Drosophila melanogaster: one gene and its partner. Changing the gene in region 1 together with any one later gene gives a genetic interaction. Each region holds a gene or a part of one and is shown in the gene's direction. Other genes may lie near its edges. The genes, in order: Gprk2 and cta.

Region 1 (5,168 bases):
CGGCGACCCACTGGACCAATCCGACCCACTTCACCCGTGGCATAGGGCGGGAACTCATAGTGCAGCATAAAGTTCTTGGCCTTCAGGCCACCGCTATCTAAAGCAGCCAACGAGTCAAGTTTCATTGCGCTTTCCTGCGAGTCCAAGCTAACCGTGCAGAAGACCTGCGTCTGACCGCGCTGGAATAGGGCGGATCCGTGGAGAGGCTTGTACATGTCCACCTGGCAGGAGATGTTCCTCAGCTGGTCGTAATCTCGTCCATCGCAACGCAGACCCCGCTCAAAGATCAGTTCGCGAAAAATGGTTCTACTGGTCTGGTTGAACTGCTCGGTAATAAGCGACGGTTCGGTATCCGGAAACGAACTCCACACCTTGTCAATAACGTTGGAGCGCACCTCGTTAACCGCATTGTCACGAGACATCTTGTCGTGCGTCGAATCCTGGAAGATCTCTCTCAGCCGCATTTCGCACATGCTACGAACGGCTTTCCCCAGTTCGGGATCTACTTCGGCAGCCACTTCCACTTCGCGCTTCTGTCGACCATAGGCCTTCTGCAGTCGCTCGATCTCGTGGATAATGAATTGGGCCTCACGAGTCCCTTGTTTGATAGCCTTTAGAAGGTCCTGCTGAAGAACCACATTCCCCTTGCCCTCCAACATAACGACGAGGTTTTGTTTGGTGGCGGAGACTACCAAATCCAGTTGCGAAGTCTGCAGCTCCCGGCGCGTGGGGTTGATCAGCACCTCGCCGTCGCAGAGGCCAACGCTTTGTAGGATTAAAAGAGTTATAAGCGGTTACCAGTTAGATTCGTTCGTGAGTACTCACCGCACAGCTCCAATGGGTCCATTCCAGGGAATGTCACTTAGAGATAGCGCCATGGAAGCGGCATTGATTGCAAGCACATCCGGACTGTGCACCGCGTCCATAGCCAACATGTTGCACACCAGCTGTGTCTCCGTGCGATAATCTTTGTGGAAGAGCGGGCGTAGCGAACGGTCGATAAGGCGGGCGGACAGGATCTCTTTTTCCGAGGGGCCCAGTTCGCGGCGCATAAAGTTCATGGGTATTCTGCCAGAGGCGGCGTTTTTCAGTCGGTAGTCAACCACCAGAGGCATGAATCCCTGGCCGGGATTTGGCTTCGCCTTGGCCACCGCGGTGACCATGACGGCGGTATCGCCCATTTGGCACACAGCTGTTCCATTCGCAAATCTCGCCAGGCGGCCGGAACTGAAGGTCATGTTACGTCTGCGGAGGATTCAAGACTTTGCTATTGGAACTCGGAGTGGAGGCCACGAACTCACCCATTGCTGAAGTTGACTTCCACGGAGGGCGCTTCTCCGTTGGAACTGCTTTGGATTCCTCTCCTTCCTCCTGGGCAGGACAAACTTAGGCATTTGAGGCGATAGTTGAGCAGCTTCAGCGATTTCCGTGTGAAAATCATGGCCATTACCTAAAAGTGCCGGGTGATTCCGGCTGAGGCGACAGTTCTGTACGCTGTATTTTCATGGTTATTTAAGAAATAATTAGTGGTCAAAATCTTACAATAAAAGCCCTGTACGTTTCTTGAGACTTGGAAGTTAGACTTAGAGCGCCTCAACTATTTGTATTGTTTAATTCAGTTATCTCAAAACTAGAATGCCCATTTAAAACAAAGTAGAGTGTGCAACATGTGTGCGTTCGGCGTTGCCACCTGGCAAGGGTAACAACAAATGAATTATATAGACAAACTATTACACGGATTATGTCTTAGGAATAATGTAGTAAATATTAATACAGCGTATTTTAAAAAAATTAATTTCGTTTCCAATAAGATATTTAGAAGGGTTCCCAGAAAATGAACTATTAGCTTGTGTCCCCGATAATGTCAAATTTGCAGTGCTGCCAACTCTTAGCAATGTTAGTTACAGCATGCAAGAAACAGCATTTAAATTCCTTTTCAGAAACGAAGAATTAAGACGGTATGTTCTGAAAGGTCCTAAAACGACCAACAGAATGACGCGACGATGTCCAAATCGCCAGATCTAAGTAATTCAAGCTAGCTAGAAAATAGCTGAGGCATCAGCACTACACAGTCCGCCAAAATTAGTCCGTCTTTTTACGCGTTTAGAGTTTTTTACCGCGAGTCGAAGACGTCTTTCACTAACTCAACGACGGTCTTACAGAAGACTCCAATATTTTTCGAGCAGGCAATTCGCGGATCCATCGTTAATTTTGGGCACTTGCAGAAAGCCCAGTTGCGAACGTCGTCGTGTGTCGTCTTAGAAAAGCCACTCCTCCAACCGGAAAACCGCAAGAGCGTCGAGCCCTTGTTTTGCGAGCCTTTTCGAAAAAAGCTGGGAATTTCACGCCGTATTTTTCGTATCTTTTCCGTCAACGAAACGCCGCGTGTGTCGTAGTGTGCGTGTGTGTGTTCTGTGTGCCCGCCCATCTGTGCATGTGTGAGAGCGCGCCTGTGTGTGTGAATTTTGGTGAGAGCCGCAACAACAACCGAAAAGAAAACCAAAATCGACAAATGCGGTCAAATTGAAAAGAAAAACAAAAAATCAAAGAGTATTCTTGCGCAAAGCCAAAAGGCAAAGTCAAAAAAGAGCGCAAAGCCAAAAAAACGCAGATTTCCCAACGAAAAGGCCGGAAAATTGCCCACTAGGCGTGTCGCTGCTTCTTCTTGTTCTTTCAAATTGTTTATGCTGCAATTGCAGTGGTGTGCGAAAGGAGTGGTAGAGAGAGAGAGAAGGAAAAGCGTCTTATCAACGCCCGCTTTCTTATCAGAACCCACACATTTGTTGCGAAAATTCCAACCAGCCGAAACTCACAGTGAAGCTTTAAATAGCACATCAAACAAACAGGTAAGTCTCATTAATCAGCTTGAAATCACCTTATTTTCTACTGCTCCTCGGTGGTCACAACTCACTGGCTGTTCCCCTCCTTTGCACTTAAGCACTTAACGGTAACTGTAAATTACACACACGTTGGCCTTGTCTCTCCTGGCGATTAATTGCATTAATGCCGCAGGACTCGCGCCATCCCTGTCACCCCACGCCAATCGATTAAAAAGTGAAAGCAATCGGGAAATGCTTATCAGTAGGTCCTCCTTCTTTGCTTTTTAAATGCATAAATACCCATGCACAGATGCACACATGCAAGCAATCAGCCCAACAATGCACTATATGAATATTTATAGCTCATTATTTATTGTCTCGCTGTTCCCGTCCATCATTTGACCCGCTAAAGAGGGCAGGTTGGTAAATAAATGAAAAGTTATCGAGATAATCGGTGGAATTGTTGGATCATTAATAATTTGTTTATTTTTTAGTTAACCTCTGACAATTTATCAATGACTTAGTAGACATAAGTCAGCTTGTTATTTTTGCATTTACCAAGATATCCGGAAGTAACATCTATTGCTCACACAAAAATATATTGGGCATTCACAATAGTGATGACTCACTGCCATGCGTGTTCACTGATTATTTTGACTTCTAAAATCATACATTTTATATTTACGTAAAGTTTTCAGAGCTGATATAAACATTAATTCAAGATATTTATTTATTAATCACTTGCACACTACTTCCAAAATACTGTACGTTTTATGCAAAATGTCGGAATAACATCAGAGATGTGATGCACAGGAAAATTCCCCATAATTCATGAAACCTATTTCCAAAATTAACAGAAAACTATTTGCGGTACTCGAACTCAAAATCTGTATTTTTATAGCACGAACATTGGAAAAGAACGCAAACCAATTAGTGAAACCATTTTGAAATCACCATAAATCAGCGTGATTGCCTGGCAATAAATTCCCGTTTCCATTTGCAGCTGACAAATGCGAGTCGTTAAAAATAGTTTTTCCCCAAAAGCGTAACTTTCCCCCGCTTTTCAAGGGCGACCCTCGCAATGTCCCGATGTACTTTCCTTATCGCTTCTGCATTTCGAGTTCTTTTTTCTGTGGTACGTCATCGGCAGCCGGGTGTCTCTGATTGTTTGAGAATCGCCTCGCCGGCTGCATAATTAAGACGAGCTGGACGTTTAGCTGATAAACGTTTCCACTTTTCATCGGCGGATGGGAGTCAATGTGCCATTCACAGAAGACCTCTACTCTGGTACACAGATGGTGATTGTTAAAGTCCAAGATCTCTGATGTGTGACCCCATGGGGTGCCCTTTTCAACTGTCAGGTCGCAACTATTGTTTCCATGTTTCGAGGGCTTGCGTCACAGTTTATCGACTCGAGTTGCGAGCTGCGAGCTGTGAGTCCCGAGAACCCGCAACCCATTCCGACAGGATGACGTAGGCAATTGGCAGAAACATGTGTATCCTGGGTATCCTGGGCCCCGTGCAGACAACAATAAACCATCAGCGCCAACCCCATGGGCAAATAAAACCCAATCGAATATTATTATCAATGAGGGCAGGACCCAAACAACGAACGCCAGTTCGAGCGCGAAGGAGGGTTGGCCACATGCTGCTCTTCCCTTGGCAGGATATCATTGCCAGCACTTGGACCCAGCCCACTGAACTTCCCAATTCCAATTCCAATCCCGACCACGCCCACATGCCATCATCGTCGCCTTCTGCGCTAATTTGGCGCGACTTTGACACTTGTTAGCCAATATGTTTTTGGCTCGTGTTAATGGCCCAACGGGAATTGATATTAATTGCGCCGCACGCCCCTCACGCCGCCCGAACTGGGCGTGGTCGTCGGTCAATATTGTTGGTCTCTAGAAGAAAAAAAAAAACAACAGAAAACGAAAAACACAAATGGCCCGAAAATCAGCTTAAATCAATTTTTTGTGGTCGCCGCCTTTTGTTCACTTGCTGGTTTTTGGTCCAAAATCGGCTTACCAACTTCGGTGCCTGTTTTTCTTGTGACTTTGGGCTTTACAAAGAGGCTCTAAGGTTCCCTTCTCGTTCAATCTAATTAATCCTGCCTTCCTTGATTGAGAATATGGGATTTGCCTTGCCCTTAAGAAAACCAGATTTCCTCACCCTTTGGCAGCCAATGAAAACTGAAAGCGCTCCCAATGTTTCCATTTTTCCAGGCCCTGTGTTTTCCTTTCATGTGCCCTAATAAAACTAAATTCAATTAGAACTTGCAGTTCGAGTTCCTTGTGCGTGTGGGAAAAGTTGGAGTGAAATGTGAGAAAAGTTTTGCGGAATATGTCG
Region 2 (4,961 bases), on another chromosome or scaffold:
GTGACCACAAAAGTGGTTGAGTCGTTGACTTTAGAACCATTGGTATTAATTCAGTTTTTCTTTTTCTTTCTTTTTTTTCAGCTTTGTAGATCTGAAGGCTGTTTGAAACCCCAATGTGCATAGGCAGGGTGAGGTCAAGTTGCTTGATGTAGTCAGCGCAACGTGTTAGAGTGGATATGCATTAAAAATTCAGCTTTTGCTTGAAAATGGCTCCGAAGTCATGGGTTAGCAGGCAGTTGGACGTGGTGTACAGCTTCGAGATTAGCATCAATGTAGTTTCTTCTACGCGGAATTCCGCCAAGTTATCCAACCCATAATATAAACTCTGCCCATTTGATAAGCAAATTTCACACTCCAATCTCAACAGCATTGCCTTTGCCCTTGTTTTTGTCGCCAACACTTAGCCTGCTTTTGTCCTTGTATTGTCGCCAACACTTAGCCTGCCGCAGATTGGAAGACGGTAGTCAATTTTAAATAGCATTAATGCGTGCGTAATCGTAATATCTATGAGAGTCTTAGTTATATGTACGAATATTTAGATGATAGAAATTTAATAATGTGAAATCTAGTTTCCAGTTGTTTTCTTTGAATCTGACAGTGCTGTTTGAAAAGTAGTTTGCAGTCGAAGGTCATCCCCAAATTTTTTAAAAAGTTTACATCATTTATTGTGCGGAGAGATTACAACGTTTTTTCCGTCAAATTATAATAGTTGGCATTTTTCAATGGCAGAGAGGTATTTTCGTGCAATATTTCTAAAAATTTTGTGCTGACTGTATGAATATTTTTTATTTTTGTAAAGTGAGATGTAAATATATTTTTGCCGAGTTACAATGTTATTTATTTCTTCAATTGCAATCATAAATAAAACCGCAGAAATTGGCGAACCTTGCGGAATTACATTGTGTAAAATGTTTGAATTCGATGTGACATTGTTTATTCGAACCCTGGTAGTTCCGCCGTCCAGGGCGGCCATGCTGCACCCCGGGCTATAAGACGGATGCAAAGTACAGTACGCTGTCATCAAGTCTGATCACCGCTTCCGAAATAAAGCCTTCTGCCCAGCTCTCTTAAACAATATTAAGCTTAGCTTTAATTAGTTGACAGCCTTACAAAGAATCTAAACGAATTCCAAAAATCTTAAACACAGGTGGCGAGCACGCAAAACGGAATAAATATTTATTTATTTATTTCTCTATGTAAGCTAATGGCCATGATATTAAGATTAAGATATAAAAATATTTTTTGAATCTTACCTAGCTTTAGTGTATTGGATCAACCTAATATCGAAATAAAACAGAATGCGAATTAAACCAATCAATGCTACTGTATCCATAGCAAAAGTTAAAAATGTTTTTTTTTTTTTAATTTTCATCCCATACAGGTCATCCTATAAGGGAACGTGCCCTCTCCAAAAGTCACTTCATTAAAATAAAGTTTTAATTTTAAAGAAATATTCTACAACCAATTTTTTTATTAATGTTATTGTAACTGATTTGTTTTGTTCCCAATTAAAGAATAATATTTTCTTCTCATTTTCTTTTTATCTTATATGCTTTAAAATTTAAAATTAAATTATAAATTACATTCCTGGTAAACCCGATATAATAATTTGTTTTTAATAATTCTTTACACTAAAGAGCTGGACCTGTTGCTTATAATATTGTCAAATTGGTTCACATATGGAACCAATTTCACCGAAAAACTGATCTGTGGGAACATGGTATAACAAAGTTGACACGAATGTTTATGTTTTATATACAGGCAAAAATTATTATCACCGCTGTTGTTTGCTCCATATATAATTACAATTATATTCCTAAAGAAACGTAAATGTAATGGCTGAGAGTGTCATAACCTAATAACGATCACGTTCAGTGTCTTATTGGTGTGAACTTTATTCCGGAATTTGTGTTGCGTTTAAGTCTGATGCCATGTAGAAATAATGGTTATGGCTTTCAGATGGCAACATCGCCTTTTAATCTAATATGAGGCCTACAATTAGAATATGCAGAATTCAAAAAGTGTTTGTTTATAAATTAAAGCGAAAGCAAGACGATGAGCATCTGCTGTTAGTGTGGGGAGTGTTTGACGTATTGGTGTTCGTGTGTGTATATAGAAAGTGCGAGCATCAGGCGTTGGCTTGCCAGCGATGTCTGGCATTACATTGACCAAATTAACTCAAGAACGAATTTCCATTCCAAACAACAATGTCATCACGAACGGCGTCGAAAACAACATAGATAGTGACACGCTTAGTGGTACTCTGACTCATCTTATGGAAGAGCATCGCACGCGGGTGGGAGCGGTAACTGGACCAGAAGCAGCGACCACGTCTACAGACGGCCTAATATCGAATGGAGCAGAGCGACTGCGACTTCAGGGCAGTCGGCTTCAGACCTCGCGCTTTGCTTGCTTTCGATGTTGCGGAAATATTATCACATATCTAGTAAGGCTGCGTAGTACCCCTGAGGAACTGGAGCAGCGCTACAAGTCCAAAGAGATTGATAAGTTCCTGGAAAAAGAAAAACACACCTTTCGACGTCAGGTAAGGTGATTTAGGGATATCGATTTCTAACCCTTGCTGTTGGTTATTTTATTTAAATGTTAACAACGAAGTAAAGGAGATATTCGACAAATTAAAGTCTATGTACAATGGCGGAAAAATTATAATGTGTTTAAAATGTAATTTCTGTACAATGTTATAAGCATATATTTAATTTAAAAAGTTACGTTTTTTTGCTAACAATTCTAGAATTATACGTATGTGTTCTTAATTAACAGGACTAGGCAAGTCGGTCGAGTAGTATATATGTACATACATACATACATACATACAACAAGCGCTATATATTTGTAACCGAAAAATATAAAAACAAGAGAAATCCTATAGTTGTGAGCTCCGCAAGTATAAGATACACGCTACTTAGGTAATGGAAGACTTCCTACTTCTTGAGGCCCGTCCCGTCTCGAGCACGAAACCTAGTCCCAAAAAAAGCCCGGGGCCCTGCCCAAGCTAAACACGAACAAATTAAAAAATAAAAACAATGCAATTTTTTTTAATTTAAAGTATGTCGGTTTTCTTATATTTATATTTCTTATATTTTGTAAACAAAGTTGATTGCAAAAAACTTAATATTTAGTACAGTTTTGGTGTTTTAAACATAATTTATGACAAGTTTTTATTTAAAAATATTTTTTTTTTTAAATTAGAACATTTTAAACGTGTACATCGCTCATTTAATACAATTCCAGAGGTAGAAAATAATCTTTTGCTATTCGCTGAGCTTGCCGGAATGGCAATTCAATAACTTGAGTTCACTACATTTCCAAAATTCTAACACATTTTGGTCTGAAGTAGCTGCACAGCCATTTAAATATTTTTCTATTTCAATATCATAAGAATTTAGTTGTAACTAAGTTTTTTTGAAAAATTTTTAATCCTGAAATTCTGCAAACAGTCCTAACCCCTTTTTATCTGGGCTTGCAGTTCTTAATCCTATAAAACTCCTCATCACTTTGCATTTCTGAAAGCATTGCTTTGACAGTTACAATTACATTCTCCTTAACTTTTGGCGATAAGCAACACATTTCCTTAACGGGAGAATTTAAGAAGAGTCCAACATAATGTGCCGTTTATGGTGCACATCTTTTATGTAAAGAATTTAACGTATTATTTTTCAGCTGAATTATGGTTTCAGAATCGAGCATTTCACTGGCGCACATCTTTAATACTTTCTCCGATCACAAACAAAATAGATTTATCGATATTAGAATCCAAACTGTATTCTTCCATAATTTCCTTAACGTTATTGAGGATGTTCTCGCCTGTTAGATTGTGACAAACAAGTTTAACTTTCGGTTCTGCCTGCGGGCTTTTTTCTTAGGGCACGAAAGACGAATTTGAGGCCCGAACCCAATTTTTTTGGCAAAGGCCCGCGGGCCTTGAAATAAAGCCCGGCCCGCGCTGCATCATCATTTAAAAAACATTATAATGGTCCACATTACAAAATTTTTGCCAGGCACAGTCTATCAAATACTTTTGCAAAACGGACTTAATTGTTATAGGCATTTTTTAAAATAAATCTCCATTCAAGAACAACATTTTGTTTTTTATAAGCATGCAGAGTTTTTTTCAATGACTTGTTCAAGGGTAATAGTTTCTTGTTCACAGAAAGGGTAAGGAGTTTACTTTGGGTGAGTCAGGGAATGTTTTTAAATGTCTTGTTTTTGAAAAAACAATTGAAGATATTTCATGGAATTTCTTCACCGGCCCCAACCAGGTCTAATTTTCTACTTTGACGTGTTAGTCGATTTTTCTCGGAAACGAACAAGGTTTTAGACCGATAATTCGGTTATGAGCATAACACAAACTTTTGCACATATATTTTGTTAATCCATTCATAAAACAAATTAACAATATAAATCTTGCTCCATCTCTTATATTTCGTGCAATGGAAAGAAGAGGTTTGGACAAGAGGCTAGTTTGATTAGAAACGGTCGGACAAGCATGAATATTTCGATTCGCTTGTTCATATTGATGAATAATATACATATGTACACTGCGCCTCACCAGGTTAGCGCACCTTGAGTAAAAATCTTTGATGTGAGACATTTAGAAAACTGCTTAAGCGAAAGTTTTTGAAATTTTTTCCCTTAAAAGTTGTAAAATTTCATAAATGAAAAGTTTATATGGGATGCAGTTTGTTGTTTATAGATTTTTGTTGAAATAAAAAAGAAAAACAAAAACACCAGAAAAAAAACATCAGGATAGCGCCCCTATGACAATTTAGGTTTTTTTTTATTAATTTCGAAAAAAGTTAGATGATTATCACTTAAATGTTTAAAATCTAATATTTTTAAAGAAAACTAATAATTAGTTGCTTCTCCTTTGTTTTCAAGGACTTCACACATTCGTCTGGGAAGTGAATCATATATTTTTTCTAGGTAATCCAAAGTAATCG

The links.
Region 2: of Gprk2 (region 1) and cta, changing one suppresses a phenotype caused by changing the other (phenotypic suppression), as found in Drosophila melanogaster (one study listed by BioGRID).

What each region holds. Positions count from the first base shown.
Region 1 is NT_033777.3:31,403,111-31,408,278, forward strand, and holds the start of Gprk2 (G protein-coupled receptor kinase 2), read left to right. Parts: upstream 1-2,134; 5' UTR 2,135-2,846; intron 2,847-5,168. Other genes in the region: PNPase (polynucleotide phosphorylase), read right to left, coding at 1-765, 826-1,245, 1,302-1,447. UniProt on the Drosophila melanogaster protein: Specifically phosphorylates the activated forms of G protein-coupled receptors. Required during oogenesis and embryogenesis; component of a signaling pathway that functions during egg chamber maturation.
Region 2 is NT_033779.5:22,980,049-22,985,009, forward strand, and holds the start of cta (concertina), read left to right. Parts: upstream 1-1,767; 5' UTR 1,768-2,149; coding exon 2,150-2,545; intron 2,546-4,961. UniProt on the Drosophila melanogaster protein: May play a role in a signal transduction pathway used during gastrulation. Required specifically for the ventral furrow and posterior midgut invaginations, where it is necessary for coordinating cell shape changes.